Linked DNA regions of Saccharomyces cerevisiae S288C. Changing the gene in region 1 together with any one later gene gives a genetic interaction. Each region holds a gene or a part of one and is shown in the gene's direction. Other genes may lie near its edges. The genes, in order: MNR2, DDI3, EMA35 and PCK1.

What was found.
Region 2: mutations in MNR2 (region 1) and DDI3 together harm fitness more than expected from each alone (negative genetic interaction), as found in Saccharomyces cerevisiae (one large-scale study listed by BioGRID).
Region 3: mutations in MNR2 (region 1) and EMA35 together harm fitness more than expected from each alone (negative genetic interaction), as found in Saccharomyces cerevisiae (one large-scale study listed by BioGRID).
Region 4: mutations in MNR2 (region 1) and PCK1 together harm fitness more than expected from each alone (negative genetic interaction), as found in Saccharomyces cerevisiae (one large-scale study listed by BioGRID).

What each region holds. Positions count from the first base shown.
Region 1 is NC_001143.9:313,122-322,560, forward strand, and holds MNR2 (putative Mg(2+) transporter MNR2), read left to right. Parts: upstream 1-4,642; coding exon 4,643-7,552; downstream 7,553-9,439. Other genes in the region: YNK1 (nucleoside diphosphate kinase), read left to right, coding at 1,691-2,152; DPC7 (Dpc7p), read left to right, coding at 2,833-3,054; YET1 (Yet1p), read right to left, coding at 3,316-3,936; YKL063C (uncharacterized protein), read right to left, coding at 7,894-8,397.
Region 2 is NC_001138.5:5,936-12,873, forward strand, and holds DDI3 (cyanamide hydratase), read left to right. Parts: upstream 1-3,609; coding exon 3,610-4,287; downstream 4,288-6,938. Other genes in the region: COS4 (Cos4p), read left to right, coding at 491-1,630; SNO3 (putative pyridoxal 5'-phosphate synthase), read right to left, coding at 4,366-5,034; pyridoxine biosynthesis protein SNZ3, read left to right, coding at 5,428-6,324. UniProt on the Saccharomyces cerevisiae protein: Cyanamide hydratase involved in the detoxification and/or utilization of cyanamide, a toxic nitrile compound distributed widely in the environment.
Region 3 is NC_001135.5:299,083-306,296, reverse strand, and holds EMA35 (Ema35p), read left to right. Parts: upstream 1-4,075; coding exon 4,076-5,026; downstream 5,027-7,214. Other genes in the region: YCR102C (uncharacterized protein), read left to right, coding at 830-1,936; YCR101C (uncharacterized protein), read left to right, coding at 3,267-3,815; YCR099C (uncharacterized protein), read left to right, coding at 4,998-5,465.
Region 4 is NC_001143.9:627,847-635,761, forward strand, and holds PCK1 (phosphoenolpyruvate carboxykinase PCK1), read left to right. Parts: upstream 1-3,305; coding exon 3,306-4,955; downstream 4,956-7,915. Other genes in the region: ESL2 (Esl2p), read left to right, coding at 1-2,534; ubiquitin-specific protease UBP11, read right to left, coding at 5,180-7,333.

The sequences.
Region 1 (9,439 bases):
TCTAGATGTTCAGCTGATAGATTTTCGTTGTATTGTATATATAATAATTGTCGGAAAACAAAAATACTTAATTGTAATTGTGTGACCGAAAATGCCTGATCAACAGCCATGGCACATTTGAATGGGATTTTGAGGAGACAAAAATGAAGAGGTTCTATAACCTTTGTAGAAGAACATTGACCTCTTTTCAATGAAGGTTGGTGGCATCGCCAGATGCAGAAAGGTTGTCTCATGAAATAAAAACGGACAGACCATGAAGGCTAAAGGAAAAAAATAAAATGCCATCTCCTAGAATCGAACCAGGGTTTCATCGGCCACAACGATGTGTACTAACCACTATACTAAGATGGCAAACAACTGTGAAGTTTTTGGTTACATCTGCACATCTGGTTGAATAAATATTATGTACTCTTTGCTTTTTTATGTTAAACCTACAAGTGGTGACTGTAAAGAAGCATTACAACGTAGAACTGATAAAGGGGAGAAATATGTGAGTTGTTAGATAATTGTTGGGATTCCATTGCTGCTAAAGGCTATAATATTGGTATACAGAATATACTAGAAGTTCTCCTCGAGGATATAGGAATCCACAAAAGGGAATCGATAGTTCTACATAATGTTATTATTTTATCTTCCTTCCTTTTATATGTTGTCATTCATTATCCTATTACATTATCAATCCTTGCATTTCAGCTTCCATTAGATCGGATGACTGTTTCTCAATCTTTATGTCATCTTCTCACACCGCATGTGATAATATAATATTAAATAGATGATATTAGAGTTCAATTCCAACAAAAGGGGAGTAGTTACATAAGCTTTCCGTAATGGTGAATTTATAGCAGTTTCCTTCTCGATGAAAGGAAGGGAAAGAATTAAATATACTCGAATGCTTGTACCACTCCATTTCCCCATTTATCACATTTAAAGTTACGAGTAAAAAAGTGACCGATATAGAATGTCTGATGAAAGAGCAAATGAAAGAAACATCAAGAAAGCATATTGAAATTAGCAAGTGAAAGCAAAAAAAGTAGATGAGTAAGCATTATAATGCGTCCAGTCTGACTTTTTTGTTGGAATAAAAATCAACTATCATCTACTAACTAGTATTTACGTTGCTAGTATATTATCATATACGGTGTTAGAAGCTGGCGCAAATGATGAGAAATAGTCATCTAAATTAGTGGAAGCTGAAACGCAAGGATTGATAATGTAATAGGATCAATGAATGTTAACATATAAAACGATGATAATAATATTTATAGAATTGTGTAGAATTACAGATTCCCTTTTATGGATTCCTAAATCCTTGAGGAGAACTTCTAGTATATCTACATACCTAATATTATAGCCTTAATCACAATGGAATCCCAACAATTACATCAGAATCCACTGAGTCTTCATTTTTTCCTATTTTTTGAATTAATTTTTGTTCGTATCCATTGGGCTGGCGAGCAAGTCCATCAAATAAAAAGGCGCGTAATTCGCTTCGTTTCGTGTCTTCGAAAATGAAGACCAGTTTTCCTCCTTAAAAGTACTTTAATTCGGAGAGCCGATTATATAAAGTGAAAGACTTAGTACTTCGTTAGCTCATATCGTTTTCTTATTTTGAAATAGGTTATCTATAGAATACTTTATCAAGTTATCAGGTTCTTTCCGGAAAAACATCTCATAAATCATCCCTGGAAAAATGTCTAGTCAAACAGAAAGAACTTTTATTGCGGTAAAACCAGATGGTGTCCAGAGGGGCTTAGTATCTCAAATTCTATCTCGTTTTGAAAAAAAAGGTTACAAACTAGTTGCTATTAAATTAGTTAAAGCGGATGATAAATTACTAGAGCAACATTACGCAGAGCATGTTGGTAAACCATTTTTCCCAAAGATGGTATCCTTTATGAAGTCTGGTCCCATTTTGGCCACGGTCTGGGAGGGAAAAGATGTGGTTAGACAAGGAAGAACTATTCTTGGTGCTACTAATCCTTTGGGCAGTGCACCAGGTACCATTAGAGGTGATTTCGGTATTGACCTAGGCAGAAACGTCTGTCACGGCAGTGATTCTGTTGATAGCGCTGAACGTGAAATCAATTTGTGGTTTAAGAAGGAAGAGTTAGTTGATTGGGAATCTAATCAAGCTAAGTGGATTTATGAATGAATAACTTATGGCATGGGAGGGTACATATGAGCGCCTTTTTTTTCTCGCTTTGGGCAGCTCATATCATGTTCCCTCACTAGCTAATAATATAATGAATTTTTTAGAAGGAGCACGATTATATAAAAAAAATACCACTTATGTTGCTACCCTTATATACGAATTTATAATACTTAATGACGCTTCAATGACGCCTGATGTCAAATGCTTTTGGCTCCCAGTGAAATTGCCACACTTCCTTCTTCTTTCCGAACTTTATAGTATCATCGAAAAATACAAGTTGGCAAAGGTCTATTACAATCGCGGAACGTACGATGTTCATACGGTTTCAGCGAATAGTCTTGTAATATCCGGAAGCATGCCTACCGGCATTATTATAGGTAGTTCATCGCCCTTGGACTATGTAGGGGTACAAGTAAATAGGCAACTTGAAATGGATCTCCCTATTGAATGAAACATTTAAGGGTGCCCAACCCTTAAGTTGATAGAGCTACTACCGTTCTTTTAGGTTTAACAGTTTCTCCAATAAATTTGGCAATATGCAGGGATCCCAAATTGAAATTTCTGGCGGAATGTATATATTAGACTTGCAGCTGAGTTTTATCGCGTACACTATTCTAGGGACTTTGGACCTAACTCTGACAACAAAAACTCAAGTAAAAAAAAGCTTACATTTTTAAATGATGAGATCTAATATTTTGAAATTATTACAACGGACAAGTAGGAGATATGTATCCTCAAAGGATTTTGAGCCTGTGATAGGGTCTAATCCTAAGAAACAAACATCTAGACTAATGGTCGGTTCTGTGGGTGTTATGATTCCAGTTCTACTTTATTTGTTTTATAAGAACGATAGCAAACATAGTGAAATTAAAAAGATATACCAAAATGAGAAAAAAATTTAAAAAGTTGTTATATAAGGGTTTTCGTATATAACACAGAATGGTAAACCGAGTCACGAAGCTCAATCTTTTTTTTTTATGTCTTTCTCTAACGTTTTTTCGTCTATATTCAAAAAAAATAAAGTTGGTAACATATAATGCATATATTCATTTGATCTAATCGCTTGCTTTTTATTTCAGTAGCATTTTCGTATTGCGTCGCGACCAGAGAAGTATGAGCACCAGAGGTAACACGTATATACATTTATACATAAATATATCTATTTAGTTTCCTTTCTTGGAAGCTTCAGCAGCTGCTACATTTCCAGGTTGATTCTTCTCATCAAAATATTTCTCCAGGTTTTTGACTTGCTTTTGTAGGCCCTCCAGAGAAATTTGCTTTTTCCTTAGTTCCTCTTGAAGTTTGGTGGAATCAGCTTCATTTGAGTCTTTCTTGCTGTTTGAGGAAGGTTTGTTCAATTTTTGCTTTTCTTGTTCGTTGATTAAGCCTTGGTATTTCACCAGTCTCTTGACAATAGACATGACAGTTGGGATACAGATAGAAAAGTACAATATGAACCCGGAAATATACATATTTCTTTGATTGTACGCTCTTGATGCTAGTGCCTGTATTGGAGTTACAGCAGATGACCCGATTGAGCCACTGTTGTCGTTGTGGTATAATGAAACACGAATTTGAGACCTTTTCCATGAATCAATAAACAACAGGCCAACAAGACAACCCGTTATAAAGATTATAGTTTTTATTTGCTGCTTCGCTGTCAATTGGTTATAGGTGCTAAAAATACCCCTACGGATCCGGAATGGCAAAGGCAAAACGAAGATGAAGAGCATTACCATCTCAACAGTGAGCAATAAAAATAATGTCGTAAAGTATAAACTCATCGCAATATTATTTATTCTTCTCGGTTTTCAGTACTTGCCACTTTGCGAAAGGATAGCAGAAAGGAGCGTTGCAATGAACGAATAGCTTTAAACCAGAAACTATACAAGGTCCCACTTGGCATATATTTCTATTTTTGCACTGCGCCAGAGGGTTTAGTAGCGCCCCCTTTATGTTAACGTATCCTGTGATATAGCATGCAGCTGCGGGTTACATGTAAATTGTTCAGGGCATAAGCAGTACGTATCGAGGAGGTAAAAGACGTTGCAAGTAGGTAGATAGTACAATATAGATAAGCCCAACAGTTTGCGTACGCCTTAAAAGTAGTGGTGTTCTGCGTTTATGTTCTCTCCCTTCTTTTCTATCTAGGTTTTTATGGCGCACTTAAAATATTCTGCTGCTTCAACGGGCGGCGATCTACGGAGAAATTTTTGGCATAAAGTCAAACTTAGAAAGAGCACATAAGCCATAACTTCTTTTTGATATGTGAAACCTAGCCCAGGTTGTCGTTAGTAGTACCTGGCCCTTTAAATATATTTTTGTACTATCGTATACTTGTATAACTATTCATCATTTTCTGGTTTGGTAGTCCGCATTTTTTCATTTGATGACTAAGTTGTACGTATTGCTACACTGAGTTTATCCCCTTACTTCGACAGTAAATTGAGAGAATAAAAGTGAGAAGTGTAGAGAAGAAAAAGATTAAAAATGAGCACTGATAACTCACAAAAGGATGAAGGTGTTCCTTTGCTTTCCCCTTACTCTAGTAGCCCTCAACTAAGGAAAAAGAAGCGCAATCAAAAAAGAAGAAAGGACAAGTTTGTTGGTCACTTGAAGTCAGACTCACGTAGGCCAACGCAACTGCTGCATGATAATCTGCAACACAATCACGGCCAGATTACTGATTTCGACCAGATCGATTCCTGGGGCATGCTGCATGAATCTGATTCTACAAGTAATGATATAATAAAAAGTGAGGATCCATCGCTCAAGGGCGCGTTCATTGATCATAGACCTTCAATGAGCCAACCTAGGGAGGGGCCTCAAAGTGTATCAAGCACAGTTCAACCACAGCCAATAATGAAGTTTTCAACACCAAGTTACAAGAAACCCGCAGGGTTAAGACCCTCTGATCAGAATAGATCATTAGTATCGGACTTATCCCCTTCAGAGCTTGAATCATGGCTGAAGAGAAGGAAATCTGTTCATAAGAGTTTTGTTGACGAAAACTCCCCCACCGATAGGAGACAATCGAACGCGAATAATGATGTCGTGATTGATGTTGATGCGTTAATGAACCATGTTAACAACAATGCAAGTACTGGGGTTAATGATAACAGCAAGAGAAGAAAGAAAAAGAGGGGTTCTGATGATAGTAGCAACAAAAATTCCAAATCCACATCCAGTGATTCAAACGATGAAGAGGATGAGTATAACTCAAGGCCATCTTCTAGTCTTTCTTCAAATAACTCTTCTTTGGATGACGTTTGTTTAGTGCTTGATGATGAGGGTAGCGAAGTGCCAAAAGCTTGGCCTGATTGTACTGTTTTGGAAGAATTTTCCAAGGAAGAAACAGAGAGACTAAGAAGTCAAGCTATTCAAGATGCTGAAGCTTTCCACTTCCAATACGATGAAGATGAGGAAGATGGAACATCAAATGAAGATGGAATTCTTTTTTCAAAGCCAATCGTAACTAATATTGATGTCCCTGAATTGGGAAACAGAAGGGTAAACGAAACAGAGAATTTGAAGAACGGCCGTTTAAGGCCAAAAAGAATTGCGCCATGGCATTTGATTCAACGTCCAATGGTCCTTGGGTCCAATTCAACCAAGGACTCAAAATCAAGAATTCAAAGCGGATTACAAGATAACTTACTAGTCGGCAGAAATATTCAATATCCTCCGCATATTATTTCTAATAACCCAGAACATTTCAGGTTCACTTATTTTAGGGTGGATTTGGACTCTACTGTTCATTCTCCGACAATATCTGGTTTACTGCAACCTGGTCAAAAATTTCAAGATTTATTTGTCGCTTCTATATACTCCCAAGATAATAGCGCTGGTCATATCAAGACACATCCAAATTCTCCAACACCTGGTATAAAAGCAGAAACTGTATCTCAACTCCAGGGATTGACAGCTAAAAACCCTTCCACTTTATCGTCTATGTCTGTGGCAAATATAGAGGATGTTCCTCCATTCTGGTTGGATGTCAGCAATCCTACTGAAGAGGAGATGAAAATATTAAGTAAAGCTTTCGGAATTCACCCTTTAACTACAGAAGATATTTTTTTGGGAGAAGTTCGTGAGAAAGTGGAACTATTTAGAGATTATTACCTGATTTGTTTTAGAAGTTTCGATATTGTAGCAGAAAAGCATGTTCGTCGGAGGAGAAAAGAAAAGCAAGAATCTGCTACCTTGGATCATGAAAGTATTTCACGTCGTAAATCACAAGCCTATGGTGCTACTATGTCAAATGAATCAAATGCAAATAACAATAACAGTACAAGCAATGCAAGTAGGAGCAAATGGCTTCCATCGATTTTACGTGCACGCCGTCGGTCATCTGCAAATAGAACAACCAATACATCATCATCAAGCTATAAACGCCGTGTCAAAAGCGAAAAGAAAAAGATGGAAGAGAACGAAAAATTCAAAAGAAAATCAGGAGACAGGCACAAACCACGTGAGGGAGAATTAGAGCCATTGAATGTTTACATTATTGTTTTCAGAACTGGTGTATTGACGTTTCATTTTGCTCCCACACCACATCCTATTAATGTTCGAAGAAGAGCAAGACTACTAAAGGATTACCTTAATGTTACCTCTGATTGGATTGCGTATGCCTTAATCGATGACATTACAGACGCATTTGCCCCTATGATAGAACTTATCGAAGATGAAGTTTATGAGATTGAGGACGCCATTTTGAAGATGCATCAGTCAGATGATTCTAGTGATAGCGATTCTAGCGATAGTGATTCCGATTCGGGCGCTAGCGATGAGGATGCATTTCCGTTCGATGTCTATTCTAAAAAGACGTCCTACTCTAGTGCAAAATCTAGTGTGAGTTCAAGAAGTATGAGCACTTCTGAAGCGTCATTCAATGCAAATTTGATAGGTTGGAAGAGAAAAGGAGATATGTTGAGGCGGATTGGTGAATGCCGTAAAAGAGTGATGAGTATACTAAGATTGCTAGGATCCAAGGCTGATGTGATAAAAGGATTTGCCAAAAGGTATAATGAGCAATGGGAAGCTTCGCCACAATCTGAAATCGCAATGTATTTGGGTGATATTCAAGATCATATTGTAACCATGGTCTCATCGCTAAACCATTATGAAAAACTGTTAAGTAGATCGCATTCAAATTATCTGGCACAAATCAACATTGATATGACGAAGGTTAATAATGACATGAACGACGTTTTGGGAAAAATTACCATACTGGGTACTATTGTTCTGCCAATGAATGTGATTACGGGTCTGTGGGGTATGAATGTTATCGTGCCCGGACAATACAGGGATTCGTTGACATGGTTTATAGGCATTGTGCTTTTTATGTGTATGCTAGCATGTTCTGCATATATGTATACTAAGAGAAGATTCGGGTTTTAATTTAAGTGTTTTTTCGCGCATTAGCGCTTGCTTTTCCTTCGATTTTAATTATCAGCCTAAATTATTGTTGTCTTTCCCGAAGGATAGAATTGTAAATTATCAGCGCCGTATCGTATACTTGTGGTGATAAATATCTTTAATCTATTTATGTTTTTTTTTTTTTTTTTTTTCGTGTCTGGTTTCTACATGTTTGTGAACGTTCTGCATATCTTTATGTACGTACACAGTATGTTAGTATGCACTTATACTATACAAAGAATAAGGGAGGTGAGGTTAATCAATAAGGTTAACGTAAAACATTTATTATTTTCATCACCAAACTGTTGGAAGTTTTGAATTGGTTAATTATCAAGGATTTCATTGTTAGCCAAATTTTCCTTGGCGAGATCTTGTTTCTCTTTCTGGAGTTGCTGTTTTTGTTCTTTTTTGTCCTTGTTTATTTGTTTTTGCTTTTCTGAATCAATTTGTGGTTTCAAATCGTTCTCCAAATTCTTTACTTCTTGTTGCTTTGCGACTTCATTATTGAACTTTTCTTTAGGTACTTTAGCTTGTTGTGGTTGCTTATTGTTAGTCGCATCAGCTGCACCGCCGGCTGCAATATTGGTATGATCGCTTGCACTTGCAGAAACATCAGAAGAATGGCTTTCTAGCTTGATCTCAGTTTCTTTATTCAGATCAGAATAGGCAACTTTTATAACGAAATAAACGCCACATAACAGTATAATGTATACTATAATCTTTTTCATAGGGGTAGTCAGATAACCGCCCCTTCTTCTGGAATTATATTTGCTTCCTGTTTTATAACGAGGTAAAAGATCTTTTTTCCTTCTGATATCGCCCTGCATATTTTCTATAATTATGAATCACTTTAGTTTGATTTATATTTGCTCAGAATACCCTAGCTTTATCTATATAGTACTACTACTTTGGAGGGGAGGAACGTATGTTGGAAGGCAATAGCACTCTGGTAAAGTGCTAACTCTTAATGTTAATGACGAAATCACTTTTTTTGCCTTTCTGAAAGATTGGAAGACTGTCACTGAGAAATTCGCTATTCTTTTCTTTTTCTTCGTGTTTTTTTTTGTTAGAATACTGCACAGCTTGCTATCCCGCTGCACAGCTTGCTATCCCGCTGCACAACATGAAATTGCTCACGTCGTGCCAAATTACATATAGGTGCTTACCCTGTTTATATTTTTTGCCTTCATAGCGGAGTTTTTAAGGGTAGCCCTTATGTTTTTAGCGTTCATTTGAACGAATGGCTAACGCTAAACGGAGAAGAGAGGAAAACAAGGCCGCTGGCGTTATTGCGCGTAAAAACAGGAGATAAGCACTGTTTAACATACATTTCATTGAAAGCTTAAAGCCGCAAAAGATGAAGGGTTTTCAAAATTTTCATCTCTTGCAGTATAAGGATGCAGTGAATCTATCTACAGACAGTTGATAAAAACGTCTACCTTGCCTAGTGTACCCAGCTGCTGTCAACTTCTTTCCTTAGCGCGTAAAGAGCTATGTTTTCGATAAAAGATGCAACATAAATGCTACGATGTAAGGCACCCAGGACCTCTGAAGGCAAAGAAGTTGTGAAATTTGAAAAATAATCGCTCAAAAAGGAATAATTGTCAAGCGTAACGATTTTTTTGATTTTCCGAAATCAGGGGAGGGGAAAAGAAAAGGGGAAGGGGTCTCCTCACAGGTATTGTGAGCTCCAAGCAATCATTTTGCCAGCACTAGGAAATAATAAAATGAAAGAAAAAAACATACATAGAAAGTGCCGCTCCGGGGCATTTTGAGCGCGGCAAAAAAAGCCCGAAGATCCGTTCCTCGAAGGAACGGCAACCGCACACCAAGAAAAAGGGAAAAAGGTGGGGTTGGCTGTAAAGTACG
Region 2 (6,938 bases), on another chromosome or scaffold:
GTTCTATGAATCTTCATGTAAGATACTCGTAGGACAGACTCTTTCCTGTGTAAATATTTGTGACAGCTACGTCTATTTTCTATTAGATATTTACACATTTTTGTCACAGGCAATCTACGCTTAAAATATACGTTTCATTTTGGGTAACAACTGCTGTGCGAACAGTGACATTGCTGGTCGCACCTTAAATGTAAACCAAAGTTACGGCACACCGTGATGTACCCTCATACAAAGCTTTGTAAAAGTATTATTACGATTATCGAGTAACTTAGATAGAAAACCGGAAATGAAATGGACTCCCTTTTCGAATAGTAGAGTTTCTGTGCCTAAAATAGCCCAACATTGTTGCCCTTTTTCTATCACGAGGTTACTGAGCCATTGCATGAACGCGCGCGCCTCGGCGGCTTTTTTTTCTACTCTATAAAAGCGAAAAGCCAGAAGTTACTATCTCGAATAAAAAACCCCTCGAACTGCCATCTCATTACCGAAAATGAAAGAAAATGAACTTAAAAATGAGAAAAGTGTAGATGTATTATCTTTCAAACAGCTCGAATCTCAAAAGATTGTTCTACCTCAAGATCTTTTCAGAAGCAGCTTTACCTGGTTTTGTTATGAAATTTACAAGTCCTTAGCGTTTCGCATCTGGATGCTATTATGGCTACCACTTAGCGTCTGGTGGAAGCTTTCCAACAATTGGATTTACCCGCTTATGGTTTCACTTCTTGTCCTGTTTTGGGGACCAGTATTTGTTCTTGTTATTTTTAGACTTTCTCGTAAACGTTCCTTATCGAAACAACTCACTCAGTTTTGCAAAGAGATTACTAAAAGCACACCAAGTTCGGATCCTCATGATTGGGAAGTTGTTGCAGCAAATCTAAATTCGTACTTATATGAAAATAAGGCTTGGAATATTAGGTACTTTTTCTTCAATGCCATGGGCTGCCAAGAAGCGTTCAGAACAACCCTTCTCGAACCCTTCTCTTTGAAAAAAGACGAAGCTGCCAAGGTTAAGTCATTTAAGGATTCCGTCCCTTACATTGAAGAAGCATTGGGAGTTTATTTTAGAGAAGTTGAAAAACAATGGAAGTTGTTTAATTCTGAGAAATCATGGAGCCCTGTTGGCCTGGAAGATGCTAAACTTCCCAAGGAAGCTTACCGATTTAAGCTTACTTGGTTTTTAAAGAGGATTTCCAATATTTTTATGTTGATACCATTCCTTAATTTTTTGTGCTGCATATATGTGTCACGGGGAATGTGCCTTCTATTACGCACCTTGTATCTCGGGTGGATTCTTTTCATGTTGGTACAAGGTTTCCAAAATATAAGGGTTTTGATTATGAGCATGGAACACAAGATGCAGTTCTTGTCGACTATTATAAATGAGCAAGAAAGTGGTGCGAATGGATGGGACGAAATTGCAAGGAAAATGAATAGGTACTTGTTTGAGAAAAAAGTCTGGAAGAATGAAGAGTTTTTCTTTGACGGGATTGACTGTGAATGGTTTTTTAGCCACTTCTTCTACCGCGTTCTATCTGCGAAGAAATCTATGCGGGCTCTATCATTGAATGTGGAACTATGGCCATATATTAAAGAAGCGCAATTATCCTGCAGTGAGGAGTCCTTAGCGTAAAGATAAATACAACTTTTTCAATTTATATATTTTGTAGTTTGTCAGCTGCGAATAACCAAAACGAGACTACTTTTTACGATTACAACCATTCTCTTTTTCCCTATTTCTCACTGGTTGACAGAAATCAGTGTGCTATCATCCTACCATATGCGCAAAACTTATTGTCTTTCTCCTCCTAGAGATGCTGTATTCCATGCATATTCTGAACGATGGGTTGGTGTTTTTATCAAGCAAGGTTAATCACATGGCGTGGCTTGCTCCACGCATCAGTAGAAAACGCATACCGCAGCGGAATCCTTAAATAATAAGTGATTTTACTGTTCATCAACTACAATCGGACTCTTTCACAATTACCCTTCTTGTTTTCCACATTTACTGTTAAATGAAGGGATGTACAGAAGGCTTAGGAAAACCTGTGCTGAATACTGGATGGACACTGCATTCCCACAGTGAAGCTTTTATAGATACACTGCCAGTTATTTTCGAACTTTCATCAAGTTGCTGAGTTTTAGTATCCCTTTGCCTTAGCTATATGTTTGAATGAGCAAAATATTTGCAATGTCTCTAGCTTTCTTGAAATATTGGTTTATATTGAGGGCTTGGTAAGATTTCAAATTTCATTTTGAAGTGCTCAGGAGAAAAATCATGCTCTTTTGATAATTTGGTGACTAAACATACATAAAACAGTTTAATTTTGGGTGGTAATGGCTGTGTGACTAGCTATAGAAAGAAAAAAATTAAAAAAAAAAAAAAAAATCAAGTAGTTCCTGCACTGCGACGTCCATTATAGCATTATAAATTGGTCCCTGATTTACGCATGCGATAAACTATTTTTAGCGCAGCCGCATATTATCCGAGAATAACTTCCGACATAAGAAAATTCGCAGAAAATAGATAAAAAAACTGCTCTTGGCATTCTTCACTTCCTCTATTACACACTGTGTCATACCACAATCATCTCACAGTATGTATTTGTATGTTTATACATGCTATAACGTAAAACAATGTAGAATATATATCTAAATACCTCACGGTTTTAGTTTAGTGCAGCCCACATACTACTTTTTTCCTTTTGTTTTTTTTTTTTATATTTCAAAGGTTAAACTCGCTTAGACTATGTCTATAATATAAAAAAAAAATAGCTCTATTCCGTTTCTTTTATTCTATTTGATATTTCCATCACACTTTCATCTTAATCACGGATGTATACTGATAATAGGGTTGACTGCGCCTGTACGGATTACAGTGCCCTCTTCAATTGGAAAATCCAAGCTTTCAAGATGGGTAACTGTTATTCAAAGGATCCTCTAAGATAAAACACAGATCGACAGATCCGAGAGTTGGCTTCTGTGCCTTGGGCTCAAATTCCTTTCCCACCTCATGCAAATTGATTTTTCTGACTCCAAAAAAAGACAGAGCCCTGCGATAGTTCCCGAATGTTGTAACATCAAAGCCAAGCACTCCTTTATAGAAGTCGCATGAACGTTGAATACTAGCAGCTGGTGAAACTACAGGGTCTAAACTAACTAGTATCCATATCTTTTTGAGAGCATTGAAAGTATACGGAGTACAAGCTGGGTTAGAAGGAATTTTTATCTTAACAGCAATGAAAATCAACTTTCTAGACTGAATCCCTCAAGAAAATTGCAAAAGACTAACTGATACTGGTTTAAAAGAGAAAGATGTCAAATATGCGGAGTTATACCATCAAACAACTTTGGACGGCCCCGAAACAAATGTCCGCAAAAAAGATCTTATTAAAGTGCATGGACACTATCATTTCTATAATACAAAATACTCCACCGCACAATAGTTTGTCGGGAAGTCATCAATCAATCTTGTACGAGCTTTACAAATAACTTTTTAGGATCGGTCCCCTCATAAAATTATATATAAATGGGTTAGTTTCCTTCTTCTTCTGTTAACATGAAGTTGCTTCGTACTGTTTTTTGCCTTGCTTCTCTTCAAAAGAATCAATCATGTCACAGTACGGATTTGTAAGAGTTCCTAGAGAGGTAGAAAAGGCCATTCCAGTGGTGAATGCACCTAGACCACGGGCCGTTGTTCCGCCTCCAAACAGTGAAACTGCTAGGCTTGTTCGGGAATATGCCGCTAAAGAATTGACTGCCCCCGTTCTAAACCACTCTTTGCGTGTTTTTCAATATAGTGTAGCTATCATAAGAGACCAATTTCCAGCATGGGACTTGGATCAGGAAGTTTTGTACGTCACCTGCTTACTTCATGATATTGCAACAACAGATAAGAATATGAGAGCCACGAAGATGTCATTTGAGTATTATGGTGGCATACTTTCAAGGGAGCTTGTATTTAATGCGACAGGTGGAAATCAGGACTATGCAGATGCAGTAACTGAGGCCATCATTCGTCACCAGGATTTGACTGGGACTGGCTACATTACCACCTTGGGGCTCATTCTGCAGATTGCTACTACGCTTGACAATGTCGGATCCAATACCGATCTGATTCATATCGATACAGTTAGTGCCATTAACGAGCAATTTCCAAGACTGCACTGGTTATCATGTTTTGCTACGGTGGTGGACACTGAAAACTCGAGAAAACCGTGGGGCCACACCAGTTCTTTGGGTGATGATTTTTCAAAGAAAGTCATATGCAATACATTTGGGTATAACTAAATAGGTAAGTTTCAATGAGGCGAGTTCAGAATGAACAGTGATGATCTCCTTTCTCCATAACTATACTATACGTCCCTTTTATTTACTGTAGTTTTTAAGAACAAATTCTCTGATGAACCAGTCGTGAAACCGTATATCGTTTTCTGCCAATTCCGGATGAAATGATGTCGCAAGAATATTGTTTTTTTGCTTAGCGGCAACAATTAGTTCTTGACCACCATTATCCTTCCCATCTAATTTGTACAGGACCTGCACATGTTCAGGATCCAGCACCTCTTCTATTACTGGGGCTCTTATAAAAGTAGCAGGAAAATCATTGCAGTGAGGAATAAAGTTTGAAAAGTCGCAAATCCGGGTAGAAGACTGAGCTTGTCTCCCAAATGCATTTCTTTTTACTTTAACCTTTAGTAAATTCAGCGTCTTGACCAGTTTTGCTTCGTTAGATAATTGTTGTGAAATATAAATCAAACCTGCACAAGTACCCCAGGTTACCTTGCTTGGGTTGTGTACGAATGCGTAGAGATCGTCGTAAAATCCTGTTCTTTCTGCAATAAGGGACATTGCAGTCGACTCTCCCCCAGGTATGATCAATGCATCACATTGAGCTAGTTGATTTTTATCCTTCACTGTCATCACAGATAGTTTTTTTTCATAGAAATCCCTGTTTTCGACGATGCATTTTTCTACGTGTCGCACATGTTCAATGAACGCACCCTGTAATGCCAAGACTCCGATAACGACGGTCATTTTTGAGATATTACTCTTGTCTTGGCCCCAGCAACCAGGGTCATGGTAAGTGTGCTTGCTACTCAAACAGAAAAAAATGGGCTTTTATCAATGAATAACTTTTTTTTTTTTTTGTAGCTGAATGATGAAAGATGGCTCAACTATTCTTACAGTTTCCAATAAAGTGACGCGCCGCCCAATGGCATAACAGTAGTAGGCACATTATATCGTTTGAATGGCAAAATGTTGTGGCAAGGAAAGAGCAGAATTATTTGTTCATGTGGAATGAATTTCACACACACACACACACATATATAAAACTAGTATGTTTCTCCACCATAGTCACATTATTATTCGACCCTTCTGGGAAAGGAACTATAATAGAAAAATAAGTATATCGTAAAAAAGACAAAAATGTCAGAATTCAAGGTTAAAACTGGGCTTGCCCAAATGTTAAAGGGCGGTGTGATTATGGACGTCGTCACACCTGAACAGGCTATTATCGCAGAAAGAGCGGGCGCTTGTGCTGTAATGGCATTGGAACGCATTCCAGCTGACATGCGCAAGTCTGGCCAAGTATGCCGTATGTCAGATCCTCGCATGATCAAAGAAATTATGGAAGCTGTTTCAATTCCGGTGATGGCAAAGGTCCGTATTGGACACTTCGTGGAGGCACAGATCCTGGAAGAGCTGCAAGTAGACTACATTGACGAAAGTGAGGTTTTGACTCCAGCTGATTGGACACATCACATTGAGAAGCATAACTTCAAGGTGCCATTTGTTTGCGGTGCCAAGGATCTAGGTGAGGCTTTGAGAAGAATAAACGAAGGTGCTGCAATGATCCGTACCAAAGGTGAAGCAGGTACCGGTGACGTTTCCGAGGCCGTCAAGCACATCACCAAGATTAAGGCGGAGATCCAGCAGTATAAAGAGAATTTGAAGACCGAATCCGATTTTGCAGCTAAGGCCACAGAATTACGCGTCCCTGTCGACTTGCTGAAGACAACACTATCAGAGGGAAAGCTACCTGTAGTCAATTTTGCTGCTGGTGGAGTTGCTACTCCAGCAGACGCTGCTCTATTGATGCAATTGGGTTGTGAAGGTGTTTTCGTCGGCTCAGGTATATTCAAATCGTCAGATCCTGAGAAGTTAGCATGTGCTATCGTTGAAGCCACGACTCACTACGATAACCCAGCAAAACTATTGCAAGTTTCCAGCGATTTGGGTGACTTGATGGGTGGTATTTCCATCCAATCAATTAATGAAGCAGGAGGCAAAAACGGTGCAAGACTTTCTGAAATCGGATGGTAGAACTAGCGATGCTCACACAACGCTAATTTGTTTCCTTCGAAGGGGCAGTCGGCTATTGTAGTTTCTATATATTATGTAGCACAACATGGAAACCATATTCAGCCAGTTTGTATATATGAGAATTAAACGTTAAAACTTTTTCATCCTATCAGTCTTTCACATTGGCCTTGCCTAAAGGGCACAATCGTTCACGTATATACATATGTATGTTTACGTATATATATATGTGTTTACAAATATGCATGTATATTCTTTTCGAGGAAGATTATTATATGCTATTAGGCGATGAGTCGGCTTAATTTTTTAGGGGGACGAGATTGGCGCGTTAGTGCATAAAGACAGCAAATCACCTGGAGGTGACAACATTAATGCATTTATCGGTTTTTGGCTATGATGCAATGAGTACAGTTCCAATTGAACGGCTCATGAACTATGAAATATACGAATTATTCAACTAGCAGAAGGCTTGAAATATTACTTATTCAGATTATGAAAATGGTGCTGTTATAGCAAAATAAGCAACATCAATCTCTTGCGACGACAGCAAACAAAACATATAAAAACCTCGTATTATCATCTTCATGAACAATATTCTTGTCCATTCTTTTGTTCTT
Region 3 (7,214 bases), on another chromosome or scaffold:
TAAACTTGTAGTGCTTTTCCGATGAAAAGGGATAGAGTCTTTAAAAGACTTGATCTTGGCATTTTTATCCTCCTTCAAGCAGAATGGCTCCAGTAGAGTTGTTCTGAACGCTTCTGGGCAGTGAGCAGCATTGAAGAAAAAGTACTCAGCATTCCAAGCTTTGTCTTCATATAATTATAAATTAAAACTCATAGCCACCAATTTCCAGGTTTTGGTCGCAATATGCTGCAGAATCAATGGCTTGTTTCGTTACTATACTGGTCCGACGGAGTTTACTTTACTCTAAATTTGCTGAAATAGCAAGGCCACACGCCATACAATTAACAATAGTTCATTCAGTTGAAAGGTTTCCGAGATAGAAAGTGCGGTAGTAGAGAAGAACAATAAACGTATCAAACTTTGCGCAGTCATGGAATTTCCAGGAAACATTTTTAGGTTTTCATATGACAGCAGTTCCTGTCCGAGAGCTGTGCCTTTCTTGTCTCAGCTGACTAAGATGTCTCGGATCCGCCCGGCTGGCGCGCGGCTCCGTCTAGTGGGATAGGCTTTCAACACATAGGAAACCCTTCAGATGATGAGAACACATCGAATCCCAGAGAGTAATATCACCAAGAATAAAGCAACCATGATAGACAATATTACTAAGTGTTCCTCAACAGATATTGAGAAAAGTTCTTATAAAGCGGGCAGGCTTTTTTCTATTTTTTTCTTTTTCTTTATCTAGCTTAAGATCCTTCTAACCATATTCTATAAAATGGCAAGCTGAATACAGATTATCAACGACAATTACATATAACCTACAAACAGGCAAGTTGCAATTCCAGAAACCATGAAGGCTGTCGTCATTGAAGACGGTAAAGCGGTTGTCAAAGAGGGCGTTCCCATTCCTGAATTGGAAGAAGGATTCGTATTGATTAAGACACTCGCTGTTGCTGGTAACCCGACTGATTGGGCACACATTGACTACAAGGTCGGGCCTCAAGGATCTATTCTGGGATGTGACGCTGCCGGCCAAATTGTCAAATTGGGCCCAGCCGTCGATCCTAAAGACTTTTCTATTGGTGATTATATTTATGGGTTCATTCACGGATCTTCCGTAAGGTTTCCTTCCAATGGTGCTTTTGCTGAATATTCTGCTATTTCAACTGTGGTTGCCTACAAATCACCCAATGAACTCAAATTTTTGGGTGAAGATGTTCTACCTGCCGGCCCTGTCAGGTCTTTGGAAGGGGCAGCCACTATCCCAGTGTCACTGACCACAGCTGGCTTGGTGTTGACCTATAACTTGGGCTTGAACCTGAAGTGGGAGCCATCAACCCCACAAAGAAACGGCCCCATCTTATTATGGGGCGGTGCAACTGCAGTAGGTCAGTCGCTCATCCAATTAGCCAATAAATTGAATGGCTTCACCAAGATCATTGTTGTGGCTTCTCGGAAACACGAAAAACTGTTGAAAGAATATGGTGCTGATCAACTATTTGATTACCATGATATTGACGTGGTAGAACAAATTAAACACAAGTACAACAATATCTCGTATTTAGTCGACTGTGTCGCGAATCAAAATACGCTTCAACAAGTGTACAAATGTGCGGCCGATAAACAGGATGCTACCGTTGTCGAATTAACTAATTTGACAGAAGAAAACGTCAAAAAGGAGAATAGGAGGCAAAATGTCACTATTGACAGAACAAGACTGTATTCAATAGGCGGCCATGAAGTACCATTTGGTGGCATTACTTTCCCTGCTGACCCAGAAGCCAGGAGAGCTGCCACCGAATTCGTCAAGTTCATCAATCCAAAGATTAGTGATGGGCAAATTCACCATATTCCAGCAAGGGTCTATAAGAACGGGCTTTACGATGTTCCTCGTATCCTGGAAGACATTAAAATCGGTAAGAACTCTGGTGAAAAACTAGTTGCCGTATTAAACTAGATGACGAACAGATATTATTTTTCTTTTGTATACACAGTTATTACGTATGTTAGAGTGACTTGGTTTTTTTTTTTTTAATGAAATTGTTTGTTATTGATCACGCCTTGTAGGGGAAACAGATGAGAACAGTGAAAATCATAACTCATTATGTGATTTGTTGTGCGTCACCCTTCCATGATTATATATCCTTACTATCTACTATCCAACTACTACATATCTATTGAACTCATATGTACCAAGCACATAAAATTATGCACCTATTTCCATTGGCAAAGACTTGGCGAAATTTAATACACTGTAATAATATCCGGCGAAGCTCTTTAAGAATTCTTACCTATAATAGCGGCTCGCTGTCCGAACGATTGCGCCGCACTTTTCTGCCTCTTACATTCCCTTTTCCTAAGGCGATAAGCAGGCTGAATGGAAACTACGATATAACGCAGTAGAGGTCCCCCAAGAGCTGGAAAGAAAATATTGGTTTGATAGCCAGCACTATTCTATCCAGTGGGCTCTTGTACCATTTTCTGTGGTATGGCTTTGATTCAACTGCATACGTAGTTAACGCGATCAGCCGCACATGGGCATTATCATTTTCAGGGGTACTGGTAAACCCTATTGTTTAGAAAGAATACCTGGTAAGCGGGTCTGTCGAGTCTTTCCCACTAATTTTGAAGAAAAAATCTTTACCTAGTTTGAGAATAATCGTGGCGTTCGTAACATCACGAGGTGAGAGAGACCAGTTAGGTAAGGGTATGCCAATAAAAGGTTATTGATACTTCAACGAATCTTCATATTAAAAGTGCCTTCACCAGAATAAAATTCTAACGTCATCCTAAAAAGCATCAATTGGACATAGTGAGGGAAAGTTTTCACCATTTAAAATCTATTCTGCAGAATACCATTCTAGACTATGATCCCTTAAAGATTCCCATTCTTTAAATATACAAATCAGGTTCAACAGCGTATCTTTATGGTATTATCGTACTACTGGCGACATTAGCAAATCCAAGTATCCTAACTAGGTTTCTAGTCTTATCTCTTGGTTTTCTCCATTAGATGGTAAACACGTTACCTTGATGGCTGTACAGGAAGTGAACATGGTCAACTCAAAGTCACCGGACTCAAAATAATTGCAATTACCTAGACTGGATATTTTTAGAATATTATGAGAATATTTTTAGAATACTTGCAACCCAAAATATATTTAAATGCCGCCAATTTGCAACCAAAAGATTATCCGCTACCTTTTTTTTAGTCATTGAATTGTAGCATAAAGTTCCGAGCTTTGAAAAAAAACTTTGAACTAAGAAAAGGTAAGAGATCCTCAATTATGATATTACTTCATGCCATATATACTCTTTGGGTAATTATACTACTTCCGCTACTCAATGCAGAGAAATTTGTCCCAAAAGTAACGGAGGCTCCTATAGAAACATCATTTAATCTAGTGAGTTTTGATGATTCCAACACTTCTATCAGATTAGATGGTTGGGGGGTTGTATGGATAAGTTTCGACGCTGGAGAAAATTGGGAAACGGTCAAAGAAATTGAAGAGCGCATTTTCAGATTTACTGTTGATCCTTTCCATGGACAGGAAAGAGGTTTCGCTTTTATATGTGAATCACCCAAATTCTACATTACCGACGACCGTGGGGAGTCATGGAGGGCTTTAACTATACCCTCATCAGAAGAATATTTAGATGGCGACTGTTTTATAACTACTCATCCTAGAAACAAAGAACTTCTTATTGCGAATTGCTATAGCTATATGATAGACGCAGACGTTTTATATGACCCAAGTGAAATTTACTTGAGCAATGATGGGAATCCTTTTTTAAAATTAAACCTTCCTTGGAAAAGAAAAAAGACGACGATATAACAACTTAAAGCTGTCATTTCATTAAGTCTAGCAAGGATTCTGACTTTACTGGTAATGATACTTCGATACTCTGTTTGTTCTCTAACCGTGAATACGATGAAGAATATCGCTTAACTGCTACCTACACACAGTTGGCTTTCAGTAGTGATGGAGGCAAAACGTTTAAAGATTTTGATGAATTTAAAGATAAGATTGTTACTCAATACAAGATATTGAAGTCATATGTGGTCGTTTTAACGCAAGATGACGGGCATAACGAGATGTCATCTACGGACATCTGGATATCCAATGATGCATCTACTTTTCAAAAGGCACAGCTGCCTACTCAATTACGGCACGTCAAAGTGATTAAAATTCGTGAAGATTCTATCGGAAGGATCATCCTTCTTATATCGACAGAAATCACAAATGAGGAAAATGCTGATCCAGATCTCTCAGAGATTTTCATATCAGATTCGCAAGGGTTGAAATTCTCACCTGTTGAATGGACACCAAACCATCAGTTTGGAAATTTTAGGCTCACTTTTCCTGATTTCTTGAAAGGGACAATATTTGGATCGTTTCATCCTTCCATTGACTATTCTAATCACCAAGTAAACTATACTGAAAATATAGCCGGAGGAGAAACCAAAATATCCGTTGATAACGGCCTCACATGGTCAAATTTGAAAGTTGTTGATGAAGAAAATGCCGATTCGTTCGGCTGTGATATCACTAGGCCTGAGAGATGTTCACTTCAGGGTTATTTTTACAATCTAAAACTTTCAAATCCTTCTGCTGGGATCATATTAATGACAGGTTCTGTTGGCGATGACAATGAATTCGATCGGAAGGACCGAAAAACTTTCATTTCTAGAGACGGTGGTCTAACATGGAGGGTGGCCCATAATTCTTCTGGATTATATGCTACTGGTGATCTGGGAAATATTATTGTATATATCCCGTCTCCTTCATATAAAGATGGTGATGTACAATCCAAACTTTATTTTTCCTTGGACCAAGGTAGAACATGGAATCAATATGAGCTTGTTGACGCTTTATTTTATATCCATCCATTAGAGTTGATTAATACAACGCCAGATGGATCAGGCTCAAAATTTATTTTAAGCGGACATCTCATTACTACGGCTAGTCAAGAAGGAAACAACACCAACATCTCATATATTGCAAGAAGTGTCCTGTATGCGATCGATTTTTCTGCTGCATTTTGACTATAAAACGTGTGAAGAGGAAGATTTCGAAGACTGGAATTTGGCAGATGGGAAATGCCTTAATGGCGCCAAATACATGTATAAAAGGAGGAAACAGGACGCCCGTTGTTTGGTAAAAAGGACATTCAAAGATATGATTTTGCATGAAATACCTTGTGACAGTTGTACTGAATCCGACTACGAATGCTCTTCTGAATTTGTTAGAGATGCAAAGGGTGACTGTATACCAGATTATGATCAGATTGCCCTTTCCGATATATGTGACAAAGCTAATGGCGAAACTGTATCATTAGAGCCATTACAATTAATTAAAGGAGATAAATGCAAAAAGCCCATGGAAATTGAGGCCATGAACATTCCATGTGAAAAAATCCTGAGGGAGAGCTCGAATGGTAAGAAAATAGCAACCATTGAAAACAAGTTTGACTTTGAAATTTAATTTTATCAATATTTCGATACAGTTTTGGGTGAATCTTTTATCATGCTTAAGTCAATAGAAGATGCCTACATACCTCACGATATGATGAATAAACAGTAAAAATGTTCGACACTGACGACAAAAAATTGACACTATTCGGGACTGATGTCATATAGAAACATAAGGTCTTACTATTTCGTTAATTTATTATTGTGATATGTATTTACAGTGTAATATGAAGTTGTGTTTAAACTATATTTTAATTCCAGGGTTTATTTGTTTGGCTCTATGAGTAACATTTTCTCAACTCAAGACAGAGGATGCTTTTCTATGATGGCTAAATTGCCTGAAACCAGACAACTAGGCATGCCACCAGATTTTGGTGATGAAAAATTGTGAATCAACCTTAAATCCAGAACATAATAGTATACCTTACCAAAGATGGTGGCGGAACGTTTACATAAATGCTTGGTAATGCAGTTCATTCTGGGTTAGCGGGCTCATTTTTCAAAAATCCGTCAAATGGGGATATTTGCTGTATGCTAAGTAAAGGAAAAGTTTTCGCCATCAGACGACTTATATGAAAACGCCAACGAATTATCCAGTTTCACGAGTCAAGGCGGTAATTTTGAAATCGAACAAGAAGATGCTCACACGCCTGAACGAAACACATGTCACAGATAACCAAGACTGTCTCTAGCAACATTCCAGACGCATTGCGAGCTCGAAGTTCCGCTCAAAAGGTTGATTGGCAGCAGCACGCATCGAAGACAAGTGGGTAATCTTTTTTACGCATAATAAATGGCTGTGTCTATTTTTTATTAAGAGAAGTAAGCATAAGGATTTTCTCAATATTGTCCATTATCCGAGGCCTCCATTACCTTTGTATGAATATAATCGCCATGAATATAATCGCCATTGTAGTTCGCCAAGTGCCGCCTTTCTTTTCTTCTATCCTCTTATCTTCCGCTTATTGGCACAGGAAACGTAAAAATTAATAATCACCAGTTCCAGTCATTTTGAGTTATAATCGTTTACCCTCCCGACAAAGATAGTAGCTCGATTCAAGAACATGAATTTTACTAATATTCGTACTTTTTTAGTTTCTGCTACTATTAATCGGTTTTGAATCCTGTCTTCATTTTGTGAGGACAAAATTTAGTAGGTGTGTAAAGTGGTATTTAAGATTCGAGTCTGGGTGCACTAAACAATGATAGACTGATCAGTACATCTTCAATTTACTATATATAGATTTTTATTAGTATTTGTTTGCAACAATTCAACGGTTAGTGTATGTAGACTATTGAATATAACGAAGATAAACAAAAAGAAGGGGAGCGAAAAAGAATTGTCAACAAATGTTTATCGATATCTGCGATAAGGTTCTGCAAACAAATGCCGCTTACGAAAAGAATACAAAAATAAGAGAATACAAGGTTATCAGCCGTCGAAAAGCACATGCTATCGTGTCATCATTTCGTGAACTATACTTCTAATGGTGTCTGCACCACAAATACCATATACACATTAGAGCATGACGATGAGTACTTACTTTTCTTGACTGTACAGCCACAGATGTTGCAGTGCGTTTCAAAAGTTCCAGCCCCACGTTTTGCCAAGATAAATTAAAAAAAGAACGTGCATATGAATATGACAGTATTGAGCATAGTCTTTTTGACAGTATCCCCTAAATGCCAGAGTGTCCGCATGATTAATACTTTTCGCGGCGCACGTGCATGACGGTAAAGAAAGCAGAGAATCAAAAGAAGC
Region 4 (7,915 bases), 310 kb from region 1:
ATAGGATCGAAAGAAGGCTATGGGTTTACGGCACGATAACATTTCTAGACGTTCTAAAGAACTTTTCTAACTTCATGGATCCTGAAGTTTGCTGCCAATTTATCACTCACGTCTTTGTTTCATTATCAACTATGATTTCTGACATACCGTCCAAATATTCTATCACTTGGTTACAAAGACTAGGAGACTTATCAAGAATGGCTATAGCACTATATCCCTCGAGTTTTATCGATTGGAAACTGAGTGCTGAGCATTGGTATACTGAGGCGATGAAATACATATACAATCATGGAAAGCTATATTATCATATGTCTACCGTACAGCAAAACACTCTTGAAGCTTTTGTAAATTTGGGGAAAAGCGTCTTTTGTCAGGAAACATTCACTCCGTCTCCGCAATATATGCAATTGGTTATTGATAACATTTATCAAAGAGCCTTTGTAGAAAGAAATAATGGCAATCTTAGAAACTCTTTATTAATTGAGTATTTGAAACATAGTGAAGCCATGCTATTACCCAGTTTTTTAGAAAGTCCAGATTTACAAAATGTCGTGTTGAGCTATTTCATTGAAAAGTTCGGTATAGATGCAAACGGTTGTAACATTTTTAACGCAGAAGATATGTTTGTTCAGAATCCTGATTTTTTCAAGTATTTCTTCAGGCATGGCCCCTCTTTTGCACAATCGCATATTTTACAAATTGTTGGATTTGGAGAGCCAAAAAACCCATTTGCAATTTTATTTGAATTGCCGAAGTATTTGAAGGAGAGGAAAGACAAGAAGGAACGTAAAAAATCTTCAAATAATGACTCCTCCGTGACGGAAAGTTCAACGGGCAATAGCCGAAATGACAACGAAGATGACGATGAAATAATGAGTTCTACCACTTCCATATCTGATCACGATCTCTTAGCAGAATTCTTCAATGACATCGATACCTTAAGGCGTCCGATACTGCCTTCAATGCTAACAAACGAAGCATGGTTGGAAACATTAAAGTTTCTAAATATGACCTCATTAAAATGCGGTATAATAGTGCTTCGGAAGTTTCTACATGGGCCTTTAGGTATCGCATTACCCCATATCTTACCATGGATATACTTTATCATCTCAATTTGTTTGAAAAGCAGCCAATTGAGTGATCCAGTTAGTAAAGAATTCTGGATGATTATTGTTAAGAGAGCTTTTCCATGGGATACAATGGTTACCTTTATGAATGTTTTGATTGTGTATTTATTGGATAACCAAACATCGAACTCTATTATTGGAGATTTATGCGATGACTACGATAAATTAAGCCTTTCTGAACTTTTAGAATTATTCAATGAAGGCGAAGAATTACCAGAAATTTTGGGCTGTTGGGGAACATTGTGGTTTGACACAATTTGCGAAAAGAATACGCATTCGATTAGTAGTGAAGATAATTTTCAAGAAATCGGTATAAAAGATTATATGGCATTGGATTCGCCGACAGATGGAATTATATTTGATGAAAAGGACGAAAATGGTGAAAAATTCTGGAAAAGGGCATGCAGAACCATATTTCTTTTTAGAGAGCTGTCAAGAAGTTTTCCAATAGGCGTAATAATCAGAAACGATCCGTTGATATATCGTTCATCATTTCAAAATACTAATATATTGGGAAGTTTAGTCTTCAAACTCGAACCCTTGTGCAATATACACAACAATATACCAGTATTAGGTGCCCTGGAAAGTATTATTGACATATCTGAGGCAAGAAGTGAAAACAACACTGATCTGCACGCTGTGCCGGAACTAAGTGTCAACGAGGGCGATAATATCTTCCACTATGTTGGCTACAAGAAACTTCGTGCCGATTATACGTGCTTCGATAAAAATGGAGAATTTTTAAGCGCCTCGCTTTACACTACATGGTATGTCCCGAACAGCAACAACACTAACATAGAGGACAACATCAATTATAACAGCGAAAAGGAAAATGAAGGTCTATTTCTGGAATGTATAAAATCTGATTATCCAGAAATAGATTTTAAAACTACATACTTTGTCTTTGATGCAACTTCTTGGCTAAGACATTCCGCACGCATATTCAAGCTAGCTCAAAACAGACTGCTAAGATTTGCCATTTGTTTAACCACATTCCAAGAGCTGAGATTTTTACGAAAGTCAAAGGACGAAAACGTCATGGAGGCTGCCACAAGAGGTATAATAACTATAAGGCAGCTTTACTATGAGAATAAAGTATTACCCCTAAGATTCACAGGTAATGTAGCGACACACATCGAAGAGAACTTAGAATTTGAAGAACAAATAACATGGAGGACACATGTCGACGAGTTTGTCATCGAATCCGTAATGAAGGCGCAAGAAAAACTAGAGAGTGCCAGCGAACCGCGTCTTTCCCCTCGCCGCTTTAACTACGTAGTTCTGATATCTGACGACGACGCCATGAAGAAAAAAGCAGAAGAAAAAGAAATAAAAACGCTAAGCACACGATTTGTGTTTTCTTTGTGCACAAAACTTGGCGAACAGCGCCATCTGTGTACAGACTGATCGTTCGTTGTACGTACATTTACAACAACACCAATTCTACTCACCGCCATAAATAACACTTTAATTTTAATATATACTTTTATATGCATATAACCAACTGACTTCCATACAATTCTGACCAGAGCACTTGGGCAGAGCCCCCACCCAGGGCCTTGTCGGAAAAAATCGGAATATCCCACACGATCCACCGGAGAATATCGGGACGCTGACGGGTGAATGGAGATCTGGATTTCCTAATTTGGATACATCTCTTTTCTTTTTTTGACTCACAATAGGAAAAAACCGAGCTTCCTTTCATCCGGCGCGGCTGTGTTCTACATATCACTGAAGCTCCGGGTATTTTAAGTTATACAAGGGAAAGATGCCGGCTAGACTAGCAAGTTTTAGGCTGCTTAACATTATGGATAGGCGGATAAAGGGCCCAAACAGGATTGTAAAGCTTAGACGCTTCTGGTTGGACAATGGTACGTTTGTGTATTAAGTAAGGCTTGGCTGGGGATAGCAACATTGGGCAGAGTATAGAAGACCACAAAAAAAAGGTATATAAGGGCAGAGAAGTCTTTGTAATGTGTGTAACTTCTCTTCCATGTGTAATCAGTATTTCTACTTACTTCTTAAATATACAGAAGTAAGACAGATAACCAACAGCCTTTCCCAGATATACATATATATCTTTATTTCAGCTTAAACAATAATTATATTTGTTTAACTCAAAAATAAAAAAAAAAAACCAAACTCACGCAACTAATTATTCCATAATAAAATAACAACATGTCCCCTTCTAAAATGAATGCTACAGTAGGATCTACTTCCGAAGTTGAACAAAAAATCAGACAAGAATTGGCTCTTAGTGACGAAGTCACCACCATCAGACGCAATGCTCCAGCTGCCGTTTTGTATGAAGATGGTCTAAAAGAAAATAAAACTGTCATTTCATCAAGCGGTGCATTGATCGCTTATTCCGGTGTTAAAACCGGAAGATCTCCAAAGGACAAACGTATTGTTGAAGAACCTACCTCGAAAGACGAAATTTGGTGGGGTCCGGTCAATAAACCATGTTCTGAAAGAACATGGTCTATCAACCGTGAAAGAGCTGCAGATTACTTGAGAACAAGAGACCACATTTATATTGTCGATGCATTTGCAGGATGGGATCCAAAATACAGAATCAAAGTCCGCGTTGTTTGTGCCAGGGCTTACCACGCTTTATTCATGACAAATATGCTTATTAGACCTACAGAAGAAGAATTAGCCCATTTTGGAGAACCTGATTTTACTGTCTGGAACGCTGGTCAGTTCCCAGCCAATTTACACACCCAGGATATGTCTTCAAAGAGTACTATAGAAATTAACTTCAAAGCAATGGAAATGATCATTTTAGGTACCGAATACGCCGGTGAAATGAAAAAAGGTATTTTCACAGTTATGTTTTACTTGATGCCTGTGCACCATAACGTTTTAACTTTGCACTCTTCCGCCAACCAGGGTATTCAAAACGGTGACGTTACTTTATTCTTTGGCCTAAGTGGTACCGGGAAAACCACTTTATCCGCAGACCCACATAGATTGTTGATCGGCGATGATGAACATTGTTGGTCCGACCATGGTGTCTTCAATATCGAAGGTGGTTGTTACGCCAAGTGTATTAATTTATCTGCCGAAAAGGAGCCTGAAATTTTCGACGCTATCAAGTTTGGTTCTGTATTAGAAAACGTTATCTATGACGAGAAGTCGCATGTAGTCGACTATGACGACTCTTCTATTACTGAAAATACTAGATGTGCCTACCCAATTGACTACATTCCAAGTGCCAAGATTCCATGTTTGGCGGACTCTCATCCAAAGAACATTATCCTGCTAACTTGTGATGCTTCGGGTGTTTTACCACCAGTATCTAAATTGACTCCTGAACAAGTCATGTACCATTTCATCTCTGGTTACACTTCTAAAATGGCTGGTACTGAGCAAGGTGTCACTGAACCTGAACCAACATTTTCATCTTGTTTCGGACAACCCTTCCTAGCCTTGCACCCTATTAGATACGCAACCATGTTAGCTACAAAGATGTCTCAACATAAAGCTAATGCGTACTTAATCAACACCGGCTGGACTGGTTCTTCCTACGTATCTGGTGGTAAACGTTGCCCATTGAAGTACACAAGGGCCATTCTGGATTCTATTCATGATGGTTCGTTAGCCAATGAAACGTACGAAACTTTACCGATTTTCAATCTTCAAGTACCTACCAAGGTTAACGGTGTTCCAGCTGAGCTTTTGAATCCTGCTAAAAACTGGTCTCAAGGTGAATCCAAATACAGAGGTGCAGTTACCAACTTGGCCAACTTGTTTGTTCAAAATTTCAAGATTTATCAAGACAGAGCCACACCAGATGTATTAGCCGCTGGTCCTCAATTCGAGTAAACGAAACATGTTCGTTCGATATGTTCAATCCAAAAAAAAAAAAAAGAATTAGAATTATTTCGACATCATAAATGTTCGTAATATATTATTTTGTCAATTTTTTCTCTTCCCATTTCAGCTTTTTTTTAATAACTGAAACTGGATCAACAAGCACATGTTTTTCTAATTAATCTTTCAAACATATTTATGTATATACATAAGGAAAATTCAAAAATCCGATGCAATTAACAGAATTCTTCTTCATAGTTCTCTTCATCCATTCTTTCGTAGAATAAGACGTATACCTCATCGCTAGACATTTCTGTTTTGCCGGCTTCAAAGTTGTTGCGATCCTTGCGATGTTGCTGTATATAATCGTCATCAAATGTAACCCAAACTTGTCTATTCAGTCCAATTTCATGGCTCTTTTCTTTGTTCACAACAGAAGTATAGTGTCCATTGATAAGGTTACCGGAATGATTCACCGTTCCATATAACTTGTATCGAATCACTTTACCGTTCTTTAAAATAATGTTCAATATCAAAGGGTAGGTTATTACAGTGCTGTTTTTTTTTGTTAAATCATAATAGAACCTTGATAAATGAATGACAAGTATCGGAGGTAAAACTATAAAGTCTAAACTCTTAATCGTGGTTAACTTTTTAGAATTTCGCTTCTTTGCATTTTTTGTTGAATCATCGCTGCTATGGTGATGATGGTGATGATGGTGGGGTGATTTTGACCTTGATCTGGAATGAAAACCGAATATGGTTGATTTTTTCTTCTGGCTAGTAATTTCTTCTTTTTTGGATTTAGAATCAGTAATTCTACAATTAGGACAATCCCAAGCATTGTCGCCTGACAGTTCTTCATCGCCTGTAAATAAGTTTATGCAATCCTCTAATTTAATTTTTCTCGACTTACTTGTAAAGCTATACAATGATAGTTTTGGAATCGCAAGTGACAGAACATAGAAGGTAGAATAGCTATAAGAAGAATTACCACAGCGCTGACATTTCAAAATGTTCTCCAACTGCCCTCGATATATGTGATCAATTGGAGATAAACCATCAGTAATAACATTTCTCTCGTACCATTTCTCGTATTTGGATGGGTTAACTTGTAAAGCATTCGCATCATATGACACTAGATCTGGATAATACTTGACAACATTTTCGTTCGAGAGCTCTTCATGTATTCGTGCTAAAACTATTAGTAGAAATTCCTGTGTATCCTGTTGATCATCTGGGATGTTCAAATCTGGCCTTAACTTCTTGCACATTTTTAAGAATCTATTTGGTATAATCGCTCTTCCTCCATTCAAATACATTTTTTTGAACAAAACGTAAATCGAGCGGGAAAGTTGGACTTCTTTCGGATATTTGTTAGTATTGAGGAATAGCCTATATTTCTTGGTTAAAAACAAATCCCGAAATAAGGTAGTGCCAAACAGACATTGAATTATACTGTTAATATAGCATGTATTGCATGGATTTTGCAGGCCAGTAATAGATAACTCTGATAACAGATCATTAGAATCTTCAATTACTGGTAGATTGTAAGCTTTCGGGGCCGAAGATTCTATGGCCTCGATCTTTCCTTCTTCCTCCTTTGGCTTTTCCACCTTGGATAAAGAGGATGAAGAATCTTGGCTAGAATCTCTGATTTGTGACGAAACCTCCAAGGAGTGCACGGGGGGAGCAGTTGCTGGACTAGACAGCGTTTTGAATAATGCATCCTTTCCAGTACTGAGTTTTAAATACGAGGGTTTTGATAATGCTTCTTTGCTTGTGTAGTACGCCACTTCAGAACCAGCTTCCAATTTATTACTTGATGCTATCTGATTACTTTCCCTGACTATGTCCTCTTTCGAATTATCATTTGTTGGTTTTGTTAGCTCATTCGGTATTTCATGTAGTGAGCCATCAAACTTGTTATGTATTGACAAAGAGGCCATATGAACAGGTAAAGGCCGTAGCGGTAAGGAGTAGGCTCTTTTTCTTTTTATGGTCCTGCAAATTCCGTTTGACTCCGCTAAATACCGGTCAACAATAACAGTACTTTCATCTCTTACCACTTTTAACACATAACCCATCACGTGTTCGTCTTGATAGTCGTTTTTTAGCTTTGCGTAACTGCTGTAGAGATTATTTCTTGTTTGGAATTGTAACGATTGTGGAATAATAAGGTACAGATAATAACAACCAATAATAAATGCTGTCAAAGCTTCCATTTCCTGATTGATTTCTAAATCCCTCAGGTAAACATTAAACAGATGAGCAGCATGGTCTAACAATCCTCTTAAGTTCTTTAGCCGTAATTGCGAATAAAACTGTTTAATATCTACTTCATATACTTTTCGAACTAGGTTTAGAATTTGATCTGGGTTTAATAACATTGTCTTTATGACTTCCGATTTAGCGAAAAGAAAACGGAAAGTAAGATCAATGCCACGGTTATTTAGTTTACTGAAGATCCTGAAAGACTACTAGCAGTAGCAGTAACCTTTCAGAGCTTATAATCAACCTAATGATTACTCAGCGCACAATCTAAAAGGGTTTCTCAACTAATTCTCGAAGAAATGTCAATCCCTTTTTTAAGCACTCCGGAAAAACTTTATAATAGATGTGGGGAAATCACCTTTGACGATGTGCAACGGAGAAACTATTTTTTTTTTTCTTTTTTTCTTTTTTTTTTTTTTTTTGGTCCGAACAATGCGATGAGCCAGACGAAGAAAAAAATAAAAAATGAGAATGAGTAATTATGTTAAGACCTTTAGAAGAAATAGGGTCCAGTCACAGAATAAAGCCCCAGGAAACTTTAAAGCAATCGAAATTAACCAGCTATATTTATATAATAAGAAATTTTTCTTATTAGTTTACTATAAAGGACTAGTGTACGTTTTTTGTGTTTAATTATTTGCTTTCTGATAATCCGGTTTGCTGATTTGAATCGTTCTCTGCAACAATTGTTGATCTCT